Oryctolagus cuniculus: one gene and its partners. Each later gene encodes a partner of the first gene's protein in a complex. Links are inferred from orthologs where the notes say so. Each region holds a gene or a part of one and is shown in the gene's direction. Other genes may lie near its edges.

Region 1 (7,385 bases):
ACCCCATATCCAATACTGGAGTGCATGGTTCTAGTCCCAGCTCCTCCATTTCTGATCCAGTTTCCTGCTGATGCACACCCTGCAAGTCAGCAGAAGATGGCTCAAGTCCTAGAATTCCTGTCTCCCCCATGTGGGAGACCCAAATTGAGTTCCAGGCTCTTGGCTTCAGCCTCACTTAGCCATGGTTGTTGCAGGCACGTGGGGAGTGAACCAGTAAATGGAAGTACTTGAGCCATCACCTGCTGCCTCACAGCATGCGCATTAGCAGGAAGGTGGGTTGGAAGCAGAGCTCACTAGAACCCAAGGATTCTGATATGTGAGGCATCCCAAGAGGCTTCTAAACTGCTGTGCCAAATACCTGCCCCATCTTCTCTGTTTAATTTTTATTCACATACTATCATGTTGAATTTTGTTCCCTTCCGAAAGTGTTGAAATCCTACACCTAGCAATTGTGAATATGACTTTATTTGGAAATACCATCCTTGCAGATGACCAAGTTAAGATGAAGTCATTAGGGTGAGCCCTGTTCCCTTATAAACAAGGGGAAATTTGCAAGCAGACTTGCACACACATGGTGAATGCCATGGGAAGGTGAAGGCAGACAGCGGGGGTGACACAGCAGAAGCCAAAGAATGCCAAATGTGTGAGATAGCCAAGAAATTGCTAGAAGCCAGGAGGGACAGGAAGGAAGGCATGAAATGGATTCTCTGGCAGACCTAAGAAGAACCAGCTGGCACTTTGCTCTGCAACTTTTAGGCTCTAGGGACATGGGACAGTACTTTGCTGTGGCAACCCTAGTGAGCTAATGGCTAGGTTACACTTAACCACCCTCCCCTCTGACTTTATAATTGTTAGTCTCCCTGATGAGAATGTAAGCACCCTGAGGGCAGGGAATTTTATCTGGTTTATATGTGAATATTCAGCATCAAACAACAGTATGTGACACATGATAGCTCTCAATATTAGTTGAAAAATAATATCCAAGAATATGGTACTTTGGAGGAAAGGGATTTCTCATGTAAATTTGGACACTGTTTTCATTTGAAAACAACCTAGGAGTAGACATTGGGTGCAGTGGTTAAAGATTCCAGTTGAGGGGCTGGTGTTGTAGTGCAGCAGGTTTATCTAAAAAGATTTATTTATTTGAAAGCCAGAGTTAGAGGGAGAGACAGATCTTTCATCCATTGACTCACTCCCCAGATGTCTGCAATGGCTAGGGCTATATGAGGTGAAAGCCAGGAGCTTCATCTGGGTCTCCTGCATGGATGGCAGAGGCCCAAGCACTTGAGCCATCTGCTGCTTTCCCAGGCACATTAGTGGGGAGCTGGATTGGAAGTGGAAGAGCTGGAATAAATCAGCACTCATAGGGGATGTCAGCTTTGCAGGCCATGACGACCCACTGTGTGACAACAGTGACCCCTAAAATAAACTGAAGCAAAAATATTAAAAAATGCCAGTTGATGGCCACATCTCATGTTGAAGTGCCTGAGTTCATTCGCATCCTGATTGCAGCTTCCTGCTAATGTGCACTCTGGGAGGTAGACAGTGATGCCTCAAGTAGTTGGCTCTCTGCCACTCATTTGGGTTGTCCGGGTTTTCAGATTCAGCCCCCAGCCCTGTTTCAGGCATTTGGGGTGTGAATTACTGGATGGGTGCTCTCAAATAAATGCAAATTTTAGGAAAGAAAAACCCATAGGGCTGACGCTGTGGTGTAGTAGGTTAAGTGTCTGCCTTGGCACCAGCATCCCATTTGGGCACTGGTTTGAGACCCAGCTGCTCCTCTTCTGATCCAGCTCTCTGTTTATGGCCTGGGAAGGTGGTAGAAGATGGCCTAAGTGCTTTTGCTCCTGCACCCTTGGTTTCTGTACCTAATGACAAGTGCTTGAGCTGAGTAGCTGTGTGCATGGTGGAGCATCTGGGCTTCTCACTTTTTTGAGTCTCTTCGTGAATGAACAAAGGTAAGGTCAAGGATAGCAAACCCTTCTCATAACCACTGTGTCCCTCTTAACTATTGTCCCAAATAGTTGAGTGATGAAATGCTCATATTCAGCAATTATAAGGGAATAACTACTTTCTCTTTTAGTGATAAAAAAAAAGTTCCAGCAGTAAGAAACATTCAAACCCACGAGGTTCAGTTTTTCAAGTTTTCTTTCCTCAGCATCTTCAGCATTTCTCAGCAGTCCAGAGGGAGGCGTTATCTGAAGGGTGAGAAATGAGGCAGGGTAGTGGCCACATAACAGTGCTTCTTTCTGTTCTGCTGGTCTTAACTGCATGTTTTCTCTCTATATGCATGGGTTTTAGAGCTGGAAGGATCAGAGACAACTCAGTGGGACTTTGGACTCTGTAGCCATTCCCTCTGGCTTGTCTGCAGTGAGCAGGAGGAGAGCTGAGTTGCAGGGAATGAGCACTGGCCCCTGTCACCTTCAGGGAATGGTTTTCCTTTAAACACACAGGCCCTGTCCTGAGAGCTGGTCATGATCGAAGTGGCACCGAATTCACACAACGGGCACTGGGCACCACTTAACAGCTCATAGACATGAGAGATGAACACTCAGGCTGGGACTGAACGCGGAAGATTATTTAATGAGGAGCAAGGGTGTAGGGGTGAAGACAGCATGGAGAGGGGGTTGGAAGTATCACATGCCTGTGCTTCATGTGCCAGGACAACGGTTAGGCTGAAGGCTATGACCTTTTAATACAGAGTTAAACTGCAGAGACACTTTACACGAAGTCCGCTGCCCTTTGCAAGCTTCAAGGGGTGCCATGAAACCGACAATCCCCAAATCTGCAAGGACAGGAGATGGGGCTGGGGGTTTTGAGGGGTTGTTGCGCCAGGCAAATGCACAGAACTAGATAAGAGGCGCCCAGGCTGTCTCATGGGGCGCCCCCTTTATAAGGCTCTCTTCATTTTCTGGAGGTCAGAACGGCCCCTACCCTCTGTGGACACCAGGTGTTCCGAGTGACCTTGCAGATCCTTCACCTCAAATCCCCGGGTTACTGCGGTTACCAAGGCTCTTCTGGAGTTTTAGGTTATTCTAACCTTTCGAGAAGACTTTCCCTGAATGCCAGCAGGCACAGGAGAAACAGCCTGGAGGCTGCCGGCCATTTACCTGGACACAGCGGCAAGCCCCTGCTGCTGCCGCCCCTCCCTGCGGGACTGGGCTCTTCTGCATCGTTCAGGGTTCGCTGCGGACGTACCGGGGTCCCGGGGAAGGTTTGGGGTTTCACTGGCTGGCAGGCTGAGGATGCTGGGTGCCCGCAACCGATGGGAGGCAGCGTGAGCCCGAGAGAGCCCGGAGCAGCCGCGGTGGCAGCGCTCGAGCGCAGCCTCCTCCCGCTCCCACAATGCACAGGGCGGCGGCGGCGGCGGCAGCATCGCGGGCCGCCGAGGTGGCTGCGGCGGCGGCGGCGACCCCGAGGACCCCGGGCACGCGGAGCGCTCGCAGCAGCTCGCGGCGAGCCCGGGAGTGATGGCGAGGCCCCCGCGGGCCGCCAGTGCCTGAGGCGCCGCGCCCCGCCCCGCCCCGCTCGGCGTGGCCCGCCCCGCCCGGCCCTGCCCCGCTCCGCTCCCTGCCGGCCGCTGCCCCGGCGCTTCCTAGTCGGCGCGGCCGGCAGCCCAGGCGAGGTGCGGCCTCGGCACAGGCGGGGGACGTCGGCGCGCAGGGCCCCGCCATGGCCGCGTCCGAGCTCTACACAAAGGTAACGCGCCCCGCGGGTCCGCGCCCTGGGGAGGGGCCACCAGGCCCGGGCCTCGGGCTGTCAGGCGGGGCGGAGGCGGGGGCGCCAGGGCCCGGCCGGCGCGGCCAGCATCGCCCGCTGGCGAGCGTTTCCAAACCCCTGGCGCTGCCCGCCCGTGGGCCGCAGCGGCACCTTCCTCTTTCCGGCGTTGACGTGAGGGAGGCCTGTCGCGGGGGTCGCCTGGCCCCCTGCCAGGCTGCTCGGGCTGGGGAGCGCGGGTTTCTGGGTGGAAACGGGGCCCAGGTGGGTTTCGCAGGGCGGGCCGAGGCCCGGGTTGCCTCTCCCTCCCCGCTCGGCTTGCGGAAGATGGTTGCTGGGGTTGATGCGATGGTCCCCTTCTTGGGGACGCTAGCTTAAAAGAACGTCTCTGTGTGGGTCTGCGGAGGTGCTTCGCAGCCCCGCGTTGGGCGGCTCGTCGGGTTTCACCTTTAGCGGCCCGGTTTCAGATGGCTGCCCTGGTGCGATGAGCCCTTGGGTAGGATGCTGCCGGCTAAGTGGGAGCTGATGCGAGAGCTGTCTTGGTCCACGGTCATTGTCGAGTTTGCAGCTTGCTTGGAATCCCTAGAGCCTCGTTAGGCTCCATGTCTTCACCTCCTGTGGGGCCAGCTTTTTCCTTCTGGGTTTTGATTAAGGGAAGTGGCAGCCTTTTCTTTCTTAACACTGACACCACTGTTCTCTGAGTCTGATCATCTCGAATTGGCATCTTTCGGAGAACTGTCCTGAAAATTTGTTTTGGGCAGTGTGTAGTGCCCTTGGTGGATGTTTGTAATTCTGGCATTTTATGCTGTAACTCATGTGTAAGTAGGTGTTTTGACAGTGATTGATTACCTAATTCGCGTTAACAGAATTGCCCCAACTTTTTGAGTTTGTATTTGCAACAGAGTCTCCATTAGGATCTAGGAATTGTTGCTTCCAAATGCGATGCAAGGATCTAGGAGTCATTGCTTCAGTTGTGACTCAAGGAAGCCCGGAATCCAAGTTCTTTTTTTTTTTTTTTTTATTTTATTTGAAAGGCAGAGTTACAGACAGTGAGAGGGAGAGAGAGGTCTTCCTCTTGTTGGTTCACTCCCCAAATGGCCGCAAAGGCCAGTGTTGCACTGATCTGAAACCAGGATGCATGCTCTTCATCCTGGTCTCCCACATGGGCTCAGGGCCCCAAGGAATTGGCCATTCTCCACTGCTTTTCCCAGGCCATAGCAGAGAGCTGGATTAGAAGTGGAGCAGCTGGGACTAGAACTGGCGACCGTGACCATATGAGATACCTGCACTGCAGACGGAGGATTAACCCACTGTGCCATGGTGCCGGGCCCAGGGGCTACAAGTTCTAACGCTTTATAAAGGGAAGAGGTCTGGACATCAGGACACCTGGATTCTGGTCCAGATCTTTTCGCTTACAGTGTGACTCTCGGCAAGTCACTTGACCCTCTGGTTCTGTTCCTCTTCTGTGGAAGGAGTTCATTGTACCTGCTCTGCAACCCTTCCATGAGTTTGTGAGGATCAAACTTAGAGGTTGTGAAAGCTTTTTTGTAACTTAAGGATTTCTCTGCAGATATGAAGTATATGATTGATTTCTTCAACTGAAATGAGCTGCTATGAGACATTCTCTGGGACTTTCTCTTTTAAGATTTATTTATATATTTGAAAGGCAGAGTCACAGAGAGAGAAAGTGGGGGGGGGGGAGAGAGAGGGAGAGATCTTCCATCCACTGATACACTCCCCACATGGCTACAAGGTTCAGGGCCCGCCCAGGCCAAAGCCAGGAGCCTGAAACTTTAAACAAGTCTCCCACGTGGATAACAGGGGTCCAAGTCCTAGGGCCATCCTCTGTTGCTTTCTCAGTCGCAATAGCACGGAGCTGGAAGTGGGGCAGCCAGAACTTGAACTGGCACTCATTTGAGAGGTAAGAGATAAGAAATCAGTCCAGGTCTTACCCATGGGTGGCAGGGACCAACTACTTGAACTACTGCCTCCGAGGGACTACATTGGCAAGAAGGTGAAATCAGGAACTGGACTTAAAAATTGAACCTAGGGAGCTGGTGCTGTGGTGTTGCAGGTTAAGCTTCTGCCTGCGTTGTCCACATCCAGTGTGGGTGCCGGTTCGTGTCCTGGCTGCTCCTCTTCTGATCCAGGTCTCTGCTAATGGCCTGGGAAAGCAGTGGAAGATGGCCCAAATGTTTGGGCCCCTGCACCCACGTGAGAGACCCAAAGGAAGCTCCTGGCTCCTGGCTTTGGATCTGCCCCGCTCCAGCCATTGTGGCCATCTGGGGATTGAACCAGTGGATAGAAGACCTGTCTCTGTCTCTCTCCCTCTCTCTGTCTGCACCTCAGCCTGTCAAATAAATAAATAAATCTTTTTTTAAAAAAATTGAACCCAGGCATTCCAACATGGATACTGGTGTCTTAACCACTAGACCAAATGCCCACTGCAAACAGGCCATCTTCAAATTACCTAACAATGAGCTGCTTAACTAGAAACTGATTGGATAATGAATTTTTGGGGGTTTAGATCTGATTTTTTAAAGATATTGTGATTTTTTTTAATTGTAAGGTTTTGTTCTTCAATCATACCTTTGTTACATTTGTTTTGTTATTTTTTATTGATTTTTTTAAAGGTGTATTTATTTACTTGAAGGTCAGAGTCACACAGAGAAGGAGGGGCAGAGAGAGAAGTCTTCCATCCACTGGTTCACTCCCCAATTGGCCACAATGGCCGGAGCTGCGCCAATCCGAAGCCAGAGGCCCGGAGCCTTCTTCGGGTCTCTCACACGGGTGCAGGGGCACAAGGACTTGGGCCATCTTCTACTGCTTTCCCAGGCCACAGCAGAGAGCTGGATTGGAAGTGGAGCATCTGGGACACAAGCCAGCCCCTATATGGGATGCTGGCACTGCAGGTGGCTGCTTTACCCACTATGCCACAGTGCTAGCCCTTGTTACATCTGTTTTAAAATTCACCTTTTATTAGCCAGCGTGTGGCATAGTGGGTAAAGCTGCCTCATACATCGCCAGCATCCCATGTGGGTACAGGTTTATGTCCTGGCTGCTCCACTTCCGATCCAGCTCCCTGCTAATGGCCTGGGAAAAATAATGGAAAATGGCCCAGGTGCTTGGACCATGAACATGGGAGACCCAGATAAAGTTCCTTGCTGTGGCTTCAGCTTGGCTCAGTCCTATGAACCAGTAGATGGAAGACCTCTGTCTAACTCTGACTTTCAAGTAAATAATCTTTTAAAAAATAAAATTCACTTTTTGTCATAAAGACAGGCTGGCATAGACATTAGATCTGAAGTTTGGGCTAAAGCTGCCTTATACACAATACACATATGCCCAATAGTATTCTGATCATTTAGTTTTCTCTTGGCTACTTCTTTTTGTGAATGGGCCTTAGATTAGTGACAGGCAGAGAGATTTATGGTGCATCCGGTCCTCTGCTTACTGTTGGGAGGTTCCAACAATGAATAAGACTCAGTCTTTTCCCTCAAGGGGTACAAATGTACCTTTTCTTCTTCTTCTCTTTCTACTTCCTTTATTTACTTCTTCGAAAGGCAGAGTTACAGAGAGATAGAGATATGAGAGAAATTTTCCATCAGCTGGTTCACTCCCCAGATGACTGCAATGGACTGGGCAGGCTGAAGCTGGGAGCCAGGAAC
Region 2 (6,806 bases), on another chromosome or scaffold:
TTCAGCACCTCTTGGGTAGAGGTTAGGTGGCCCCTGCTGTCCATGAGCCCAGACAGAGTGGCGGTGGCCCCCTGCTTTCCAGAGACCCGTTGTTACGCAGTGAAAGGTTGACAGAGAACTTTGTGGTGGGGCAGGGAGCGTCTGCACTGGTCTCGGAGGCTGCGCCCCAGGAAGTGCTGCAGGCAGCTGCTCGGCCCGTCAGCTGGGGCAGCTCAGGTCTAGCGCCTGCCTGGGGCAGAGGTCTTGAGACTAGCCGGCCAGGTCTAGCGCCTGCCTGGGGCAGAGGTCTTGAGACTAGCCGGCCATCTAGATTTTCCTCGTGGGGAAGCAAGCATTCTTTGCCTTCCAGAGAAAGTTTCCAGTGACCAGGTGCACAGAAAAGCTTTTAACAGCAGCTCTCAGATAAAAATCTTGGGCTGGAGTTAACCCTTCGTGGCGCTAGCTCAGCCAGTGAGCAGGGACCAGGGACTAGGAGGAAGAGGGAGGGGCCACAGATGGGCTGGGAGCTGCTCTGTGCAGGAGGGCGTGGGGGCTTTCCTCCATGAGGTGGCATGGCTGGGGCTGGACACAGAACCAGACACGACGGGTCAGCAGGGAGCTGGGAGGCAGAGGCAGGATGGTGTGGAATTCGACCTCCATCTTGGCCTCTGCCTCTGGGTCCGAAGGAATTGATGGGAAATGAGGTGAACTGTGGTTCTTGCTGGTCCTGCATCCCCACCCCATTGTCGCACCTGGAAGGGGTTGGAGGCCTCTGCCCAGAGGCCCCCACCCTGGCATCCCCTCAAATGTGGCCAGCCCTTAGGCTTCCACTGCCTGCCCTGTGACCCCGCCTCTGGGGTGTGCCAGAGCAGGGCTAAGGTGAGCTGGGGGTCAGGAGTTTTCTACAGGACACAGGATGCCGTGTTCTGGGCCCCACGTTCTTCTGGACCCCACCCTGGCCATGCCAGGCTTGGGCTCTGGTTCCTGTGTGACTGGAAAACCAGTGGTGGGGCGGGGGCTTCCATTGCCTGGGTTCCCCAAGACAAGAACGGGTGGGAAGAAAGAGGTTTGTTCAGCAGGCTGGCAGAGCGGACAGCTTGTCTCAGAAGAGCTTTTCTGCCTTGCTAGTTAGCAAGAGCAGTTTTAAAAGAAGCTGAGAGGGCTGGGGACCTCAGGGGCTTAGCTTTGATCTAAGGCTGACAGCTCGCAGTGCGTGGTCCTTGTTCCTGGCCAGGTGGCCGCAAACTTCTTCCTTTTCTGAGATCTTGTGATTCTAGCAGTTTTCCTGTAGTCTCTGGAATTCCTACATATCATTTGTGTGCTGAATTCACATTAGTCATCTGAATCAGCAGATAACTTTTGCTCATCAGAATGTGAAGGGGGACAGGAAGATGTAGCCTCCTACAGTTACAGGTGCACAGGAAATGAGAGGTCAAAGGACACCCCCACCCCACCCCACCCCCCGCCACCTGGGTAAGGTGGATCTAGATGAGGGTGTGGCTCGTCATGCCCCGGAGCGGGTGGTCCACCCTCTGCGTGCCTCTGTCCCCTTCCCTGTGAAACAGAAGTGCCAAATTCTATCACGGACGTCAAGTGGGTCCCACAGCAGCAGCGATTAAACTGGCCACTTTCCTCCTCTGGTGTAAATGATGCTGTTAGGTCACGACAATGACGGGTGTTACCTTCCGGGTGGTCTAGCAGCTAGGACGAGGTCTGACGTGGAGATGGGTTCTTCCTAGGAAAGCTGTCACACACAGTGAAACACGTACGATTTAGGTGGGTGGCCCAATGGAGTGCTGCGTCCCCAGCGCACGACCGAGACATGGCCCTCTCAGCCATCCCCTTGGAGCGAGCCCTGCCCCGCCCCCAGCCCGGCAGCACCGACCCCTGCTGCTGAGTGTAGGGTCTCCCCTAGACAACCGCGGTGCTCCAGCAGGCTGGCGACTCACGCCTGGGGTCCACGCTTTTCCCTCCTGCTCTGCAGTGTTCTCCTGGGAGCAGGTGGCAGGGTCACGTCCACCACTTGAGTACTTTGGTGGTTCCCAGGCCGGGGTTGCGGTGCGTCGGGGACAAGTGTGGATGCATTTTCTCGCCTCACTCAGTCCAGCAGCCGGGAGGGGAGGTGCTGAGCCATGCCCTGCATGCATTTTTACATGGCAATAATCAGCCATTACCTCCCAGAGGGACCTTGCTGTTGGGGGTTGGGGATGCCTCCTAGCGGGGCTCCATGTTTCCAGCCCCTTGCGGCCTTCCCCACCTGGCACTGGCTCTGGCTGCCGCCGCCCCAGCGCCCCCTGGTGACTTCCCCGTGCATCCCGCCTTCGTCCCGCAGATGGTGCAGTCGCTGGGCTTCGCCATCTACCGCGCGCTGGACTGGGGGCTGGACGACACTGAAGAGCGGGAGCTCAGCCCGCAGCTGGAGCGGCTCATCGACCTCATGGCCAACAGCGACTGCGAGGACGCCAGCTGCGGGGCTGCCGACGAGGGCTACGGAGGTCCCGAGGAGGAGGAGGAGTCCGAGGGCGGCCCCCGGGTCGTGCGCACCTTCGCCCAGGCCATGCGGCTGTGCGCTGCCCGGCTGACCGACCCTCGGGGCGCCCAAGCCCACTACCAGGCCGTGTGCCGAGCCCTCTTCGTGGAGACCCTGGAGCTGCGTGCCTTCCTGGCCCGAGTCCGGGAGGCCAAGGAGGTGAGAGGGGTGTGGGGGTCACAGGAGGTGGGAAGGGCCAGGGCATGAACAAGGAGGTGTAGGGGCAGGCAGCCCTCTGCTGTGTCCTGGGCACAGTTTCAGGGCCCAGGCTCTCGGTAGGCTGTGATCTAACTCTCCCACCTTTTCACTGAAGGAAACTGAACCCAGGCAGTAGTGATTGACCCCCAGCCCCTAAGTGGTCACGTTGCCCGCTGCTTTCTCTCGTCTGCAGAGGGGGCTGCCTGCTGCCTCCTGGTCCCAGCTCTTTCTGGAAGTACTGTGCTGAAGGCAGCTGTCTGACTGCTCAGGACAGACTCGGGGCTGGTGTGCAGCCAGTGAGAGAACCGTGCTCGCATTTGTGGCCCCTGTGCTCACACCACCCCTCTGAGATGGTCTTACCAAGGAGCGAGTGCAGGCTCTGCTGGGTTGGGTCCCCTGCCTGAAGCCCTAGCTGATGTGGGCCAGCGAACTGCCTGCCTCTTCAGGGACCTGGAGTCAGGGGTCAGAGGTCTCAGCCTCTCCCGGGGGAGTCGGTGCTGCTCCAAGGTGGGTGTGCACCTCCCAGATGAGGGCATGAAGCATGGCGTGGGGGTCGGGGGCAAGGTGTACTTCCCTGTCTCGCTCAGGTGCTGAAGGTCTCGAAGGTGAGGCTGGCTCCTGATCGGTGGGACTGTGCCGCCTTCCCTCACCAGGAGTGACCCTGGGGGGGGGGGTCTCTCGGGGTGGGCGTGGCTGGCACGCACCTGTAACCCAGTCACGTGCCAAGATGAGCAGTTTCCTTCCCTCCCCAGGATTCGCAGGCGCTGGTGGTGCTCTTGTCTTCCTCTGAACTCAGTCTGCCTTTTGCTCTGAGGCTTGCTGTCTGGACAGTGGAAGCCCACCCTTCCGCAGGGGCCGTCCGTCGGCCCAGGAGACGCTCCGGGAATTTGTAGTAGGGATGGAGAAAAAGGTCTGCAGCTGGGCGCAGCTGGACGGGCTAGCCCGCTCAGGAGGGACAGCTAGCCCTGCCCACAGACTGGCCAGGGCACACACTGGACTACTAGCAGAATCACGCCTGTGCCCTCAGAGTTGGCAGTGCTTTGGCAAGTAGCAGCTCGAGGTGAAAAGCCAGGACAGCAGGATAGCCGGTTCTGCCTGGGGTGGTGGTACTGCCGTGTGCCAACGAGCATGGAGGAGTTAGTGAGAGACGGGCCCTGGCTCTCCTGAGCGCCAGCATCCTGCCCAGGCCTCAGGAGAGAATGGCTGTCCCTGTCATCGTCCCCGAGTTCTCACCCTGACGTCAGCATTTTTCTCAGCTCGCGCGGCTCACACCCGTGTCTACAGGATGTGCTCACTCAGACCCCCACCCACTGGTTCATTCACCCAGTCTTGGGGACCAAGCGTGAGCTACACTGTGCTCACTGGGTCCTAGCTGTGACTCCAAGCAGCAGCTAGGGATGGGGTTAAACTGCCACCCGGGGCGCCCACACCCCACATCAGGGTCTCTGTGGTCAAGCTTCCCGTCCAGCTGCCTGCCCACGCGCACCCTGGGAGGCGGCAGGGATGGCTCAGATACTTAGGTATCCGAAACTCCCAGAAGGCGTTTCTGGCTTTGGCCTGCCCGGCCCTGGCTGTTGGAGGCATTTGGGGAGAGTGAAACAGCAGGTGGAAGATGTCTCTCTCTCTCTCTCTCTCTCTCTCTCTCTCTCTCTCTCTCTCCTGCTCTTTCAAATAAACAAGTAAATTTTTTTTTTTTAAAAAAAAGAAGCAGCAAAGTGTAAGACTGAAGCTGGGATCATAGGTGGACACTTGGCCTGCCTAGGTGCTCCTGAGACAGCGCTGTGAGTGAGACACACACCTGCGCCTGCTGCGTCAGTTGGGAGACGGCGCCACATGGGTGCCCTGTGGGTGTCAGGCTCCTGTCCACCGCTACCCTCTGACAGTGTCCTGGGCAGGTGTGGACATAGTGTGCACTGATGGCTCCAGCCTGGTCTCTTGAGTTCCTCAAATGTCTGCCTGAACACCCAGGCCGAGCCCATGTGCCCGCTGGCCCCCTTTTTAGCTGGCTGCCTGGTAGCCTAAGCGTGATCAAGTGTTCCTGGGCACAGCGTGCGGTCTGCTGCTCCACGTTCAGGACTGACCAGGGGTGTGTCCTAGATGCTGCAGAAGCTCGGGGAGGACGAGCCGCAGGTGGAAAAGCCGCTGGTGGAACTCGACGACCTGGGGCGCACAGACTGGGTAAGCGGGTTCCCTCCTGACGTGGGGTGCCCCGGGGGTCTGTGCCTGTGCCTGAGGGCCCTCTCCGTCCCCCTGGGCCCAGGCTCGGCTGTGGGTGCAGCTCATGCGGGAGCTGCGCCACGGGGTGAAGCTCAAGAAGGTGGAGGAGCAGGAGTTCAACCCCCTCCCCACCGAGTTCCAGCTGACGCCCTTCGAGATGCTGATGCAGGACATCCGTGCCAGGAACTACAAGCTGCGAAAGGTCATGGTGAGCTCAGCAGCGCTCCGCCCCCTCTCGGTCCCACAGCAGCTCCAAGACGCCCCGCTCCTGGTGCTGGGTGCTGAGCCCAGCCTGGGCCAGGGTGTGAAGGAGGCAGACGCAGCCCTCGGTTCCCACGGCTCAGGGTCAGTGTATGGATGGCAGGCAAGGGGAGGGAGAAGATCCTGGAGAATCAGGAACGGCCCCAGAGGAGGCCGCACAGGAGCCAGGGCCCCAGGGTCTCTCCTCTGGGACACACTGTGCCACCTCCTGAGCGCTCGTGCCACTTAGAATCGTGCACGCCAAGTTCATGGCATCTACGACAGACCCTTTTCCAGAGGAATCTGAGGTCCCGGAAGCCCAGTGCCGGCAGGGGCATCAGACCCGGGATGCTGCAGCCGCGTCACCGTGTGGCTGGAGTGTGGCCGTCCCGGAAGCCCAGTGCCGGCAGGGGCATCAGACCCGGGATGCTGCAGCCGCGTCACCGTGTGGCTGGAGTGTGGCCGTCCCGGAAGCCCAGTGCCGGCAGGGGCACCACCAGACCCGGGATGCTGCAGCCGCGTCACCGTGTGGCTGGAGTGTGGCCGTCCCGGAAGCCCAGTGCCGGCAGGGGCATCACCAGACCCGGGATGCTGCAGCCGCGTCACCGTGTGGCTGGAGTGTGGCCGTCCCGGAAGCCCAGTGCCGGCAGGGGCATCACCAGACCCGGGATGCTGCAGCCGCGTCACCGTGTGGCTGGAGTGTGGCCGTCCCAGAAGCCCAGTGCCGGCAGGGGCACCACCAGACCCGGGATGCTGCAGCCGCGTCACCGTGTGGCTGGAGTGTGGCTGCACAGTGCACCTGTGCAGAAGGCGGAGGGGTCACGGGGATCAGAGCCCGGGAGGGGATTTGGGGTGAGGACCAGGCTGTGGTCAGGGCACCTGGGCACCAGCACACAGCCCCTGCAGCGGGAGCCACCTTCCTGTCTCCCTGCAGGTTGACGGGGACATCCCTCCCAGGGTGAAGAAGGATGCCCACGAGCTCATCCTGGACTTCATCCGCTCCCGGCCTCCACTGAAGCAGGTGAGGGCTCTCCTGGAGTCCACCCAGGAGCTTTCTGGACGCAGCTGGGTCCAGGCAGCTTGGTCCTCTCTTGCCTGCTGACTGGACTGGGCCCTGGCCCTGGCCCACACAGTGTAGCCCTGGGCCCTCGCCCTTCTGGGAAGCACCGCGAGGACACCCCACCCCCCACCCCAGGTGCACACAGAGCCCACTGGGGGTCCCACTCCCTCCTGTGGGCCTGCTTGGCATGCCTGGCCTCCCAGCAGCCCCCTGGCCACACAGGTGTCGGAGAGAAGGCTTCGCCCGCTTCCGCAGAAGCAGAGGACCCTGCACGAGAAGATCCTGGAGGAGATCAAGCAGGAACACAGGCTGCGCCCCGTCGGGGGCCCACGCTGGGGGGCCCGTGGTGAGCCGGGGACGGTGGGGGGCTGAGATCCCTCTTGTCCTGGTCCGGCTGCAAATCAGGACCTGGGGCCAGCCGTGGGAGGTTCCACGTGGAGGCTTGCGTCCTATGTCTGCGTCTTGCCTTTCATCCCATTTGCCATTTCACATTTTTTTTTTCACAATGATGTGACAAATTTTGATACTTAGGAGGAAAATAAAACCAGTTTTTAAGTGGAGGAAGACGCATTTGTTCAGCGT
Region 3 (6,806 bases), on another chromosome or scaffold:
GCAGCCAACATCTCACAGGAGCCCTCCCCTCAGAGCTGCTTTCTGCAGGCCTGGGACACGTGGGACACAGAAAGGGGCGGAGGCCGGGGCTCCAGCAGGGCCTCTGGGCGGCCCCCTCCGGAGCCGGCCTCGGAGCTCCGTGGACAACCGTTCTCCCGCTCTCTCAGCCCCCAGCTGCCGGGCCGCACTCAGCGGCAGACACGGAGGAGGAGGCCCTCAGGAGAAGGCTGGAGGAGCTGACCAGCAACGTCAGCGACCAGGAGGAGGAAGAGGGAGAGCCGGCCGGCGGGGACCACGCCGGGGCTCTCCCCCCGCGGTCCCGGCAGGACCCAGCACAGGTACTGCCACTAAGCAGGCAGCCACTGCGGGGGTCACTGGGGCTTTGACAGGGGCCTCACGGGGAGCCCAGCCCTGGAGGGGCAGCGAGGGGCATCCGGGGGAGGAGCAGAGGCGAGTCCGGGGCTCAGCCCCTCACGCCGGGGGTCAGCCGCTGTCCCTCTCTTTCCCAGGTGTGCACAGACGCCGGCCCAACGCCCGGCCGGGGACAGAGCCCTCAGGGCGCCGGGGGCCCCGCCCAGCCCAGCAGGAGCACAGACGAGCAGCTGTCGGCGCTGGAGGACAGGGTGGCGGCCGCGGCCTCCGAGGTTCAGCAGGCAGAGAGCGAGGTAGCCCAGTCCCGGGTGTCACCAAGACGGGTGCCAGCCACCGGGTGTGCGGGGTGCACCGGCTGTGACAGTCGGCCTGTGGGGCTCGCACAGAGCGTCTGGGGTCCAGGATGGCTGCCTCCTCCCAGGCCCCTGCGTCTCCACGCTGCTGCACTGAGTGGGAGGCAGGCAGAGTTCTCAGGATTGAAACGGCTGCTTGCAGCCCGTAAAGAGAGGCCAGAAGTGGGCTTAGACCCTGGATAGCCGGAGGCTCTGGCCAGGGCCTCCCCATGGGCCTGCGCTGTGGACGCAGGGTCTGAGTTTGGGTGAGGGGCGCCCGCAGTGCACAGGTCAAAGGTCAGAGCCAAAGCATTGGTTTCCCAGGGTCGCCCCGTGACTTCTGGGACAGCAGGACCCCTGCCCGGCCTCGGGCCGTTCTCAGCAGCCTGAGTTCCCAGGGAGGAAGAGCACGGTCCCAGAGCTGCCCACATCACGGGGGCGACTCGGAACACGGTCCCAGAGCTGCCCACATCACGGGGGCGACTCGGAACACGAGTCCCAGAGCTGCCCACATCCCGGGGGCGACTCCGGCTCAGCTCCTCGCTTTCCGTTACTCTTCCCTGGCTTGCAGATCCTCTGTGAATCCCTGGGGTGCATCCAGCATCGGGGGCCAGAGGGCAGACCTGAGCAGCTCAGACCCGCTCCTGCCGCCGTGGAGCTGAGGGTTCGGTGGGAGAGGGTGGATGGCCAGCATCCGTGGGAAGATGATGCTGCGGGCAGATGGGGGCGGGGCTGCCGAGGGAACGTGATGAGAGGCAGCTATGAGAAGAGGCCAGGGGTGGCGTGTGCCAAGGCCCTGGGGTGTCCGGGAATCAGCAGCAGCAACCCAAGGCTGGAACACAGGGATGAGGGGAGAGTGTGGGAGGCCGGTCCTGGAGGGGGCCGATGGCAGAGACCCCCGAGGAACATTTGTGGGGCCACAGGAAGACCTGAACGGGGAGAGACAGGCTTGCCTTCTGCTTCCAGAAGCTTCCTCTGGCCACCATGAAAAGCGTGGCCTAAGGGTGAGGGGACAGACAGGGCAAGGTTGTTGCCAATGGCATTGGGGGCGGTGCTGGGTCAGGGAAGCCCTGAGCTGCTGCTGCCCCTCCCCCAGCCCTGATCTGCCTCCAGAAGTGCACAGGACTCCTCCGCTCCTGCCTGGGGTGGGTGGGGGCAGCAGGAATACCCACCCCCTTGCTGACGGCCGTGGGAGCCAGGGCAGTGGGCGCATGCCCCCGGGGAGACTCATGAGTGGAGTACACGGGCTCCGGGTGGGACGTCTGGGTGGCAGCTGACTCCAGCCATCTCTCTGTCTGTCCGTCCATCCTTCCGTCCGTCCCAGGTGTCCGCTATCGAGTCCAGGATTGCTGCCTTGAGGGCTGCGGGGCTCACGGTGAAGCCCTCGGGAAAGCCCCGGAGGAAATCGAACCTCCCGGTGAGTGGGGCGGGTGCCGGGGCCTCGCGCCCCCAGCTGCCTGCCTGGTCCCGCTGGGCTGTTCCTGAGCTCTGCCCCGCTGGGATCTCTCCCGCCTGTGTTTCTCACCAAGAAGGTGCCCTCAGCCCCTGCCCACGCACACAAACACACACACACACACACACACACACAGCTACTCATACACACAGGTACATATACACACAGCTATACACACACACACCTACACAGATACACATACACACAAACAGCTATACACACACACAAACAGCTACTCATACACACAAACAGCTATACACACATACACCTACACACACATACAAACAGCTACACACACATACAGCTACACACATACACAGCTATATACACACACAAACACCTACACATACAAACAGCCATACACAAACACCTTCACTCATACATACACAAACACCCATACACACATACACATACCTACACACACAAAACACACGTACACATGAACACATGTGCACACATACATGCATGTGTGTGCACATATGAATACACATGCAAGCAATACACACATGTGCGTGTATGCATGTTTGTACACACAGCGGCACACAATGCATTCACACAAAACACATGTACATGCAGAGACACACGAATGCATGAACAAACATACACATGCTTATGTGCACACACATGTACACACTCACAGACACACACACACACTCAACACACTCACAGGGTTTAAAAACCCAAAGCAGCAGCCTGAATGACAGCCTCTTGTCAGAGGGCTCCCAGCTCAGCCCTGGGGAGGGGCGTGACCACAGCACGTGCACAGGAGGCCTCCCAGGGCCCCGCCCCAGTGCTCTGAGGCCAGCACCCTTCTCCCACCCTTGCGAGGAGCCATCAGAGCTCTCACGGCGGGGAACGTGGCAGGGCAGTCACAGGTCCTCCCGAGGGGGCCTGGAGAGGGCTGGCGGCAGATGCAGGAAGCCCGGCCAACCTGGCTTTCAGAGCATCAGCAGTGCCTTCTAGCCCCAGTGCAGCCTGTGCGGCGGCTGGGACACACGCACGAACCATCACCGTGCACCTGAGACCCAGAGTTACTGGAGCTCTGGCAGCCCCGGCAGGGTGTGGGCGCAGAGAGCAGGGGCAGCCGCGCCAGCCCCCTCTCCAGCAGGCGTCTAAGAGGTGCAGGGCTGTGTGTCCCACGTCCAGTGCCCTGACTCTGCCGGCAGCTGGCTGGTGAACAAGGCTGCCGCGACACGAACCTTCTCCCTTGTCCTCCAGATCTTTGTGCCCCGGCTTCTCGGGACCCCCAGCAAGCGTCCAGAGGACCCGGATACAGAGCCTCCTGGTGAAGCCAAGGTGTGGTCCAGACCAAGAGAGGAAGATGGGCCCGAGCTTTGCAGACTGGCGAGGCCGGGGAGGGGCGGGGCTGGAATGTACATGCTGGGACGAGGGCTGTGTCCGGGCGCGTGTTGGGAAAGCCCAGGAGGGGTTGGGGGTGGGGAGAGTGAGCCTCTGACATCAGGCAGACTGGGATGCGCTCCCCAGGCAGCTCTGGGGCCAGCAGGGCTCACGTCTCCAGGTCTTCCTGCTCGGGCCCAGGAAGCTGGGGCATTCATGCCTGCACACCCGCCATCGTGGGCGAGCCTGCGCCCGCTCCCCACTCCCCCATGCTGGGCGTCTCACATTCCGAGGTCTGACTTGATTCAGCTGCTGACGGAGAACAGGGCACCGCTGCCCTGGGTCTCTGGGTCTGCAAGGACGGTGGGCGGTGGAATAGCCGGGGAGCGGAGTGGGGGGGGGGCTGATGAGTGCCACGACTGAGCCGTGACCCCAGGTTCTGCCTTCCAGGACGAGACCGTGCCCTACCTTCTGCGGAGAAAGTACTCCCCCAGAGGTCAAGGTGAGCCCAGCTGCCGCCCTGGCCCCATGCAGGCCTGGGGGTGGGGACTCGGTAAGGCTGGCTTTCCCTGCCACCTGAAGGACACGGTGACACCAGCCCCCAAGAACCCTCCCAGGCCCGAGAGCAGTGAGCGTGAGCAGCTCATTAATGGGCCTTTGCCATAAACACACAAAGGGCGCTACTAGTGGCAGTGGTAGCGGCAGTGGCAATGATGGCGGCTGCAGTGGTGGTGATGGTGGCCGTGGTGATGGTGGCCGTGGTGGTGGCTGTGGTGATGGTGGCCGTGGTGATGGTGGCCACGGTAATGGTGGCTGTGGTGATGGTGGCCGTGGTGATGGTGGCCGTGGTGGTGGCCGTGGTGATGGTGGCCGTGGTGATGGTGGCAGTGATGGCAGCCACAGTGTCCTCTGCGGTTTCCAGTCTAAGTTGTCCCGCGGCAGCACAGGCCCCTGTCCTTAGAGGGTACAGCTCGTCCTTTAGCCTTGAATGAAGTCTTGGTGGTGACAGGGACAGCAGCTTTGTCCCGGACAAGTGGGATGTGAGGCCCACAGGCTCCCCGGCATGAGCCCGGCATGGGGCGTTTGTGTGCAACCCAACCACAGCCCCCGCCCTCCACTGCTGTGCCGCCTCGGCGCCCCCCTTCCCCCAGATCTCAGCACCACCCCTGAGCCCAGTCAGACTCCACCACAGCCGTGGGCCTCACAGGCAGCCGCCCCTCATCCCCCTTGGCTTCCAGCTGCCTGCAAAGGAAAGTGGGATCTCGCCACAGCTGGCGGACCCGCACCGCTTGTGCACACGCTGGGTGCGCCTTGTGGGACAACACCCACGCTCCGGCAGACGTGGGTTCCAGAGCACAGCTGTCCATGCCCACCCGGGCTTCTCCCCAGCTCCCACGGCACTAAGTACATCTTGGCAGTCCCCTTGCCCGCCCCTCCTCTGTGCCAGCCGCCTCTCTGTCGCTGGCTGAACTCCCGGCACACATTTGGGTCGATCCAGGACAGAGCTGGCCCTGACTCAGGACCACAGGAGAGAGAGACGGCCCACGTGGGGGCTGGCTCCCAGCGGGGGCTCCTGGGGTGCCCGTGCTGACCTCGAGGGCGATTACAGCACACCCCACGGCCGAGAGCTGTGGGGGTTCATGAACGTGGGCCTCGTGCTGGCAGGTTTGTGAAGGGCGTTTGGTCCAGCCGAGAGGCCGCCCACGTTCAGGCCAGTGTTCAGGGGCAGTGGGTCGGATGGCCCCTCCCGTTCCATCACCAGCCTGGTGGGTGAGGCCTCAGTGCTTGTCCCCCAGTCGACCAGAGCCAGCCCCACACTGGCAGAGGGTCCCCTGGCCCAGGCAGGCCCTTCCCTGAGGCTGTTCAGGGGCAGGGACACATGGGTGACACCTAGGTAAGATGCACCTGCCGAGAATGGAGAGGGCTGCTCACAGCAGAAGGGGACGGGAGAGACTTGGCTCTTGGCGTCCGGTAGCTCCCGCCCTGTGAATGCTCACTTCTGACACCTGCCTGGTTTTGGGCCAGCAGCTGGCATCCCTGGACCCAAGTCAAGGACAGGGGTGCACGGTCAGCTCCAGGGAGCCATGACCTGTGGCACCTGTGGCACCTGTGGCACCTGTGGCAAGATGAGAACGGCTGGTGTCTATGCAGACCTGAGGCCCAGCCCCAGCTCCACCCACGGAGGCTGACAGGCACCTGTCCTGAGAGTCAGTCCCAAGCCCATGTCACAGAGTGAAAGGAAAGGGGAGGCCATGTGCACGCCAGACCTCTGGGTTCTGCCCACGTCGGGAGCCCTGCGGCCGAGGGGACAAGCTGCTGAGGTTGCTGGGAGCCGGGGGAGGGTGGGACTGAGCTGAGCGTGCACCCAGCTGCCGGCAAGCACATGTCCATCTGCACGTGTAGTCCTCTGGTCCCCTCGGCTGGGGCCAGGTCCCCTTTAATGCTACTTTCAGCCACACCCCTGCCTGGGGGAGGCTTCTGATTGACGCCCCTCCTCTCCCTGCCTCTCCCAGGCAAAGATGAGGTCTCTCTTGACCGGAAGTCCCCGTACCGTGGCTCCCTGACCCAGAGGAACCCCAGCAGGAGGAGGGGAGCGGCCAGCGCCATCTTCACGGTAATGCTTGCTCCCCTCTAAAAGTCCATAACCAGTGGGGTTCACGACTGGCGTCAGGTCTTCAGGAATACGGAAGGAAACCTGGGAATTACAGCAAAACGTGCTCGCGTCGCCTTCATAGAAAGCAAAGCATTTCTTAAAGGCTCCGGGAGACTCCACTGAGGACGACAGCAAAATCAGGGCGGTCAGGACCTGGCCTTGCTCTCCCTGAAGTGGGTGGGGCTCCAGGAAGAAGGACAGGCTCTCTGGCCAATGAGGACCTCTCCCCGGACCCGGAGCAGTGGACATCCCTCCACTGGGCTGGGAGGGTGCAGGGCTCAGAGGCTGCCCCAGGGTGGGCGTTGGGCTCAGCAGTTCAGACAGCGGTGAGGACTTCCGCATCCCACGTGAGTGCTGATCCGGCTTCTTCCCGCATCCCACGTGGGTGCTGATCCGGCTTCTTCCCACATCCCACGTGGGTGCTGATCCGGCTTCCCACATCCCACGTGGGCACTGATCCGGCTTCCCACATCCCACGTGGGCGCTGATCCGGCTTCCCGCATCCGACGTGGGCGCTGATCTGGCTTCCCACATCCCACGTGGGTGCTGATCCGGCTTCCCACATCCCACGTGGGTGCTGGTCCGGCTTCCCACATCCCACGTGGGCGCTGATCCGGCTTCCTGCATCCCACGTGGGCGCTGATCTGGCTTCTTCCCG
Region 4 (6,806 bases), about 14 Mb from region 1:
AAATTGCCACTTGGGATGCTGCATCCATGTTGGAGTGCCTGGTTCAAGTCCTGGCTCTTCTCCTTCCAGTCCAGCTTCCTGCTAACGCGCACCCTTGGAGGCAGCAGATGGTGCCTCAAGTGCTTGAGTCTGACACGCATGTGGGAGACCTGGACTGAGTTCTGGGCTTTTCAGTGTGGCCCAGCCCTGACTGTTTGGGCATTTGGGAAGTGAACCAGCAGATGGAAGGTCTCCCTGTCTCTCCCTCTCTTTCAAATAAAATGAAAAAGTGAAAGTACACATTGTTTATTTTTAGAATTTCCCATCTAATGTTTTTAGACTGTGGTTTGACTGTGGGTAATTGAAACTGGAAAGTGAAACCACAGATAGGATTCTTAGATGTTTATTTCTAAGTGTGTGTGTGTGTGTGTGTGTGTGTGTTTCTTAAAGAGACTTGTTTGAAAGAGAAGAAACAGATATAATCCTAGCTTATTCCCCAAATAACCAAACACTGGATTCTGGGCCAGGGCAAAGCAAGGAGCCAGGAATTCCATCTGGATCTCCCATGAGTGTCAGGGACCCAAGCATTAGCAGGGAGCTGAGTTGAAGCGGAACATCCAGGACTTCAACCAGCACCCTGATGTGGATTGCCAGCCTTGCAAGCATTGGCTTAATCTACTGCACCATAATGTTGGCCCCTGTAAGTGTGTTTTTAAAAATATGTGACCCATGTTTTGAATTCTTCTGGTGTTTGCTTCTATTTTGTTGTTCTTTTCTGGTAAATGTTTGTATGGGAAGGCAACCACAAGTTGGAAACAAGATATGTTTCTAGGGGTAGGCATTGTGGTACAGTGGGTTAAGCCGCCTCTTGGGACAGCTGTGTCCCGTATTGAGAGTGCTGAGGGGCTGGCACCGTGGCACAGTGGGTTAAGCTGCCACCTGCAGTGCTGGCGTCCATATGGGTTCCAGTCCTGGCTGCTTTGCTTCCGATCCAGCTCCTTGGCTGATGCACCTGGGAAAGCAGCAGAAAGTGGCCCAAGTGCTTAGCCCCTTGCATCCACATGGGAGACTAGGAGGAAGCTCCTGGCTTTGGCCTCGCCCAACCCTGGCTGTTGTGGTTCTTTGAGGGAGTGAACCAGTAGATGGGAGATTTCTCTTTCAAATAAATAAATATTACGAGTGCCACTTCAGGTCCTGGCTACTCTGCTTCCAATCCAGCTTCCTGCTGATGCATTGTGGAAGGCAGCAGACGATGGCTCAGGTGTTAGCCTCTGCCACTCATACAGGAGTTTTGGATGCAGTTCTGGTATCCTGGCTGTTGCAGGCGTTTGGGGAGTTGACTAGCAGATGGAAGATTGATCTTTTTCTTGCTGTCTCTGCCTTTCAAGTGGATGAAAATAAATAAGCAAAACAAAATGAGAGTGGGTGTTTGGTGCAGTGACTGGGACCCCTGCATTCCATATTGGGGTACCTGGGTTTGCGTCCCGACCCTGCTTTGGATTCCGTGAAGCATCAGGTGGTGATTCATGTCTTTGAGTCCCTGCCACTCATGTGGGAGACCTGAATTAAATTCCCAGCTGCCAGGTATTTGGGGAGTGAACCAGCAGTTGAGCAATGTCTACCCCTTTCTCTCTGTCTCTCTGCCTCTCAATTACTGTGAGTAAATAAAAAATTAAAAATGTGTGTGTTTCTGTTTCCAGATACTATCGTGGAGCTGTAGGTGCCTTATTGGTTTATGACATTGCTAAACATCTCACATATGAAAATGTAGAGCGGTGGCTGAAAGAACTGAGAGATCATGCGGATAGTAACATTGTTATCATGCTCGTGGGTAACAAGAGTGATTTACGTCATCTCAGGGCAGTTCCTACCGATGAAGCAAGAGCTTTTGCAGGTTAGTGATTTGAATCCCATGCTATTACAGTGATTCTGTAGTTTTTACTATTATGTCTTGCAGTTTCTTCACTCTTTCACTGAGGGTAGTTGTAATAGTTTCAGAAAAGTAAACATGATTACTCAACAAAGATGATTGTTTTGAAAGTTTGTGATTACTGTATGGCTCTTTAGCTGAACTTCAAGTTACTGAAACACCAAGACTTTGAGTTTTTGTGGGGAAAAAAAAAAAAAAACACAGAAAATAAATGTTGTCCTCTTTTCTGTCCCTTGAAGTGGTAGGTGAAATCTGTTAATGAAGCATGTTCTACCTCCTTTTCCATCAAGCCTGTATTTTACCAATGCAGCTCTAGATGGGTCTAGCCATTGTTAGGGACCAACAGGGAGACAGCTGCTTAGGAGCTGTCTTTGGTCCCATAGAGGATCTGCCTTTCTCTTGGTCCTGCCCCAGTTTTGTTAAGGGCAGCTTATCAGAAAGCAACATCATGCATTCTTAGCTAGTGAAAGTCATGACCTTGCACTAGTGATTATGCTGTGAATAGTTTTCCATAACAGTTTTTAGTTTCCCAGACAAGAAGAAACTTTATTTCAATAATAACAGAATTCTAAAATTCTAAGTGAATACCATAGGGATGCAGAGGACTGTAAGGAATGAGCACAGTTGAGTGTTTGGTAAGTTTACTACATTTTGAGTGATCTCATTCATTGCTATTGGTAATGTTTAGAGTAATAAATATTTAATCAAGAAGCCAATGAAAACTTCAGTCTGGTAGAGTATAAACAGAATGGTGCCCTTTCGGTCCCAGAAGTTGGCACAGTCTTAGATTTTAAAAAGTCATGTTATTTTCTTTTTTGAGAGCTTAATTATATGACATTCTTTCTTTTACTTGTAAAACTTGACAAAACTGAGTTTTTGTGTCTCCCCACAGAAAAGAATGGTTTGTCATTTATTGAGACATCTGCTTTAGATTCTACAAATGTAGAAGCTGCTTTTCAAACAATTCTAACAGGTAAGATTTGCATTTTCAGATTATACCAGTTGGAATTGGAAGTTTCAGGAAGGTCATAAAAGCAGATTGTTCAGGAAGCTATGTATCGCACCATTGGAGAATGACTGTCATTTGAGAACTACTATAGCAAGAGCTGTTTGCAGTACAAAATTAGTTACAGATCTTGTTCATTGAGCTCCAGTCATCCCAATTCATCTTTATATGGGAAAAATGTTTTGAGGCTTATTTGTTCACTTTTGTTATCACAGTCACAGCTGAAGTTATGTTTAAATCTACCTTGATGTGGAAAGATATAAATGTGTTTTAGAAATTCAGTAAAGAATAGAAAAGGCTAGGAAAAAATAAATTTTTAAACAGTTAAGTGAAAAGAAAACTCTGCTGTGATGTGGAAGATGCAGGTTGTCACTTGCAGATAAAATCAGCCAGTGATTGAATATACAAAAGTTCAATTGAAGATTTACTTTATTTGAAAGGCAGTGAGAGAGAAAGAGAGAGAGATACAGACAAGAATTTTCTTCTGTCTGCTGTTCACACCTCAGATGACCCCAGTAGCCAGCCTGCTAAAGTCAGGAGCCTGGAAGTCCATCCAGGTCTCCCACATGGGTGGTAGGGATCCAAGTACTTGAGCCATCATCTGCTGCCTTCCCAGATGTGATAGCAGGAAGTTGGACTGGAAGTAGAGTAGCCAGAACTGAAACCAGTACTGATATGGGATGTGGGCATTGCAAAGGTGGCTTAACCCGCAGTGGCACAATGCCCACTCCATAAACTGTATAGTACGTTTAAGAACTCGTGAGTTAGAATATAGTTTTATTTATTTATTTATTTGAGAGGCAGAGTTAGAGACGGAGGGAAAGGTTCTCTGCACTGGGTCGCTCTCCAAATGGCTGGAGCTGGGCCAGGTCTTCTCCAGGTCTCCTGCACCGATGCAGGGGCTCAGGGACTTGGGCCATCTTCCACTGCCTTCCCAGGCCACAGGCAGAGAGCCGGATTGGAAGAGGAGCAGCCGGGAAATGAACTGACGCCCACATGGGATGCCAGCGCCACAGGTGGAGGCCTACCTCAGCACACCACAGTGCTGGCCTAGTGTATAGTCTTTTTCTTTTTTTTCTTCCAAAGATTTATTTCATTTATTTGAAAGACAGAATTACAGAGAGAGGTAGAGACAGAGAGAGAGGTCTTCCATCCGCTGGTTCACTCCCCAGATGGCCACAATGGCCGGAACTGCGCTGATCCAAAGCCAGGGGCCAGGAGCTTCTTCCGGGTCTCCTACATGGGTGCAGGGGCCCAAGGACTTGGGCCCTCTTCTACTGCTCCCCCAGGTCATAGCAGAGAGCTGGATCGGAAATGGAGTAGCTGGGTCTCGAACCGGTGCCCACATGGGATGCTGGTGCTTCAGGCCAGGACTTTAACCCGCTGCGACACAGCGCTGACCCCAGAATATTGTCTTAATATATAGGACAGTCTTATGTGGTGGTGGTCTTAAAAAGTTTATATGGAGAAATGTTTATTAATGAGTTTCCAGTTCCCAAGTTTTAATTTAATGTTTGTATATAGTACTTGTATTAGAGTTAAGCAGATTTCAGCTTTAAAATACTATTTTACTGTTAAAAAAAAAGTTGGGAATAAAGCCTAGGAATTAAGAACATGGACTTGGAGGCCTGACTTGGGTGCTAGTCCTGACTCCTTCACTTACTGTTAGCTCTAAATCTTAGGCAAGTTCCTTAACCTTAAAGATCTTCTTCATCTGTAAAATTTTGGGGAAGTTCTTTTATTTCTGTTTTGAGAGAGAGTTTGTGTTTATAAAACCTTGTGGTATGATTTCATTTGACTGTTGTGTTGCAACCTATCAGGTGTTTTGTTTCTGAAATTCATAGAAAAGAATGGTGTGTCACTCAGACAACTCTGGGTACCAAAAATGAGCACAAGCTATTGCCTGTAAAATACTTAGCTATCCCGCTACACAGTGAACATTTGATACATTAGTTACTAAATAGCAGTTATGGCATGAGGGACAAAAACTGGTTAAAATACACTTTGGTGACTTATGTATCTGTTATCAGAAGAATAGTAACTTAGAAGAGCTAGTGCTGGGGTTGGGTAACACAGTAGCTTTCATTGAGTCTTCCCTGTGTCAAGCGCATTGCTGGTTCAGACAGCCAAGGTCTGGTTTTCTTAGAACGCCGTGTGTGGACTTTGTTTAGTTAGTGTGCAGAGTACTAGATTGAGATTCAGGGGTTCTAGGGTTTTATATTTCACGACTTTGCTCTCACTCCCTGTGAATCTAAGGCACTGAACCTCTCTGATCTCCGAGTGTTTTAAATCAACTCAACGTCTGTGAGTCTCTTAAAGCCTCTGAATACCCCATCAGTCTTCAGTATTAGGGATCTTTAATGTCCCATCCACTCTCTTCTATAGTTCTAGTGCATTTATTCTGATTCTGAATGAAGATGAGACCAAGTCTTTCCTTCCATCTGCAGTTACTTGTATGTCTCATTTTTCTTTTAACAGTGAACTTCTGTTTCACTCTTCTCTTCTTCCTCCTAAATGCCAGTGGGAATATTAATACATAGGAAAAACAGAAAAGAGAACAGTTACCTCATTAAGGCTGATTCTACATTAAATTTAACAGTATTAAAGGAATATTTACATTGTATGTTGCTGGAAGAAAAAAAGCTTTTATTTTTTAAAAATATATATTTATTTGAAAGGTGGAATGACAGAAAGGGAGAAACATGAAAAGGTATCTTCTATTCTCCAATTCATTCCTGAAATGGCTGCAGTGGCCAGGGCTGGGCCAGCTAAAAGCTGGGAGGCTGGATCTTCATCTGGGTTTCCTATGTGGGTGGCAGGAACCCAAGTACTTGGGCCATCTTTTGCTGCCTTCCCAGGAGCATTAGGAATCCCTAAGTACTTTTCAATTTGTATTTCCTAAAAACAAGGGCATTTCTTTTTCATAACCATAGAATAAAGATCAAAATTAGTTAGCTATATACCTCATTCAGATTTTGTCGATTATTCCCGTGTCCTTATTAGCAAAGCATTTCATTCAGCTGTCATTTCTTTACACTCCCATCTGAAATGGTTTCTTTGCCTTTTGTTTATAGGCATTGCTTTTTGTTTTTTAAGATTTATGTATTAGAAAGTCAGAGTTACACAGAAGAAGAAGGAGAGGAGGAGAGAGAGGTCTTCCATCTGCTTGTTCACTCCTCAATTGGCTGCAACAGCCGGAGCTGATCTGATCTGAAGCCAGGAGCCTGGAGCTTCTTCTGATCTCCCATGCAGGTGCAGGGACCCAAGCACTTGGGCCATTTTCTACTGCTTTCCCAGGACATAGCAGAGAGCTGGATCGGAAGTGGAGCAGCTGGGACTTGAACCAGTGCCCATATGGGATGCTGGTACTGCAGGCGGCAGCTTTACTTGCTGTGCCACAGCACCGGCCCCTAGGCATTGAGATTTTTGAGGCGTACAGGCCAGTTGTTTTGTAATGTCCTTCAGTTTGGATTTCTCTGATGTTTCTGATGGTTAAATTTAGCTTATTCACTTTTGGTAGGGTCACTACAGATGTGCTGTGAATGCCACCCCCCCCCCCCTTAAAGAATTATTTATTTGAAAGGAAGAGAGTCAGGGAGAGAGAAAGAGATATCTTTCATCTGCTGTTTCACTCCCCACATGGCCATGATGGCTGGGACTAGGTGCTATTTTAAGAATTATTTTTATTTATTTGAAAGACTAGAGGTAGAGGCAGATACAGAGAGAGAGAGAGAGATATCTTCCATCCGCTGGTTCACACCCCAAATGGCCACAACAGCTGGAGCTAAGCTGATCCAAAGCCAGGAGCTTCTTCCCGGTCTCCCATGTAGGTGCAGCAGCTCAAGGAGTTGGGCCATCCTCAGCTGCTTTCCCAGGCATATCAGAAGCTAG

Evidence for each region.
Region 2: the proteins of MYO5A (region 1) and SPIRE2 are in contact, whole or in part, in a crystal structure (PDB 5JCY), measured with the Homo sapiens proteins. The link is inferred for Oryctolagus cuniculus from reciprocal best matches to the Homo sapiens genes MYO5A and SPIRE2. Residues at the interface, in NP_001369276.1 of Homo sapiens: Asp1551, Val1554, Arg1555, Thr1559, Ile1562, Asn1563, Lys1566, Ser1597, Gly1598, Leu1615, Thr1616, Asn1617, Phe1618, Asp1619, Leu1620, Ala1621, Glu1622, Tyr1623, Val1626, Asp1629, Leu1630, Gln1633; in NP_115827.1 of Homo sapiens: Arg404, Pro405, Arg406, Val407, Leu408, Leu409, Lys410, Ala411, Pro412, Thr413, Leu414, Met417, Glu418, Met420.
Region 3: the proteins of MYO5A (region 1) and MLPH are in contact, whole or in part, in a crystal structure (PDB 4KP3), measured with the Mus musculus proteins. The link is inferred for Oryctolagus cuniculus from reciprocal best matches to the Homo sapiens genes MYO5A and MLPH. Residues at the interface, in NP_034994.2 of Mus musculus: Asp1524, Val1527, Arg1528, Leu1531, Thr1532, Ile1535, Asn1536, Lys1539, Ser1570, Gly1571, Leu1588, Thr1589, Asn1590, Phe1591, Asp1592, Leu1593, Ala1594, Glu1595, Tyr1596, Val1599; in NP_443748.2 of Mus musculus: Lys184, Lys186, Arg187, Leu188, Leu189, Ser190, Phe191, Arg192, Asp195, Phe196, Glu197.
Region 4: the proteins of MYO5A (region 1) and RAB11A are in contact, whole or in part, in a crystal structure (PDB 5JCZ), measured with the Homo sapiens proteins. The link is inferred for Oryctolagus cuniculus from reciprocal best matches to the Homo sapiens genes MYO5A and RAB11A. Residues at the interface, in NP_001369276.1 of Homo sapiens: Ile1660, Gln1661, Trp1738, Met1742, Arg1745, Tyr1746, Ser1749, Gln1750, Glu1753, Arg1756, Gln1777, Gln1780, Val1781, Lys1782, Lys1784, Met1795, Glu1818; in NP_004654.1 of Homo sapiens: Arg33, Glu35, Ile44, Gly45, Val46, Glu47, Phe48, Ala49, Thr50, Gln63, Trp65, Gln70, Tyr73, Ala75, Ile76, Ala79, Arg82.

The regions. Positions count from the first base shown.
Region 1 is NC_091443.1:75,199,349-75,206,733, reverse strand, and holds the start of MYO5A (unconventional myosin-Va), read left to right. Parts: upstream 1-3,477; 5' UTR 3,478-3,672; coding exon 3,673-3,699; intron 3,700-7,385. UniProt on the Homo sapiens protein: Processive actin-based motor that can move in large steps approximating the 36-nm pseudo-repeat of the actin filament. Can hydrolyze ATP in the presence of actin, which is essential for its function as a motor protein. Involved in melanosome transport.
Region 2 is NC_091449.1:69,410,783-69,417,588, forward strand, and holds part of SPIRE2 (protein spire homolog 2), read left to right. Parts: intron 1-2,311; coding exon 2,312-2,668; intron 2,669-4,804; coding exon 4,805-4,885; intron 4,886-4,967; coding exon 4,968-5,132; intron 5,133-6,098; coding exon 6,099-6,185; intron 6,186-6,446; coding exon 6,447-6,570; intron 6,571-6,806. UniProt on the Homo sapiens protein: Acts as an actin nucleation factor, remains associated with the slow-growing pointed end of the new filament.
Region 3 is NC_091434.1:2,704,486-2,711,291, reverse strand, and holds part of MLPH (melanophilin), read left to right. Parts: intron 1-167; coding exon 168-338; intron 339-509; coding exon 510-665; intron 666-2,028; coding exon 2,029-2,121; intron 2,122-3,375; coding exon 3,376-3,453; intron 3,454-3,945; coding exon 3,946-3,997; intron 3,998-6,008; coding exon 6,009-6,109; intron 6,110-6,806. UniProt on the Homo sapiens protein: Rab effector protein involved in melanosome transport. Serves as link between melanosome-bound RAB27A and the motor protein MYO5A.
Region 4 is NC_091443.1:88,895,995-88,902,800, forward strand, and holds part of RAB11A (ras-related protein Rab-11A), read left to right. Parts: intron 1-1,679; coding exon 1,680-1,873; intron 1,874-2,801; coding exon 2,802-2,882; intron 2,883-4,067; exon of another isoform or gene 4,068-5,405; coding exon of another isoform or gene 5,406-5,425; intron 5,426-6,806. UniProt on the Homo sapiens protein: The small GTPases Rab are key regulators of intracellular membrane trafficking, from the formation of transport vesicles to their fusion with membranes.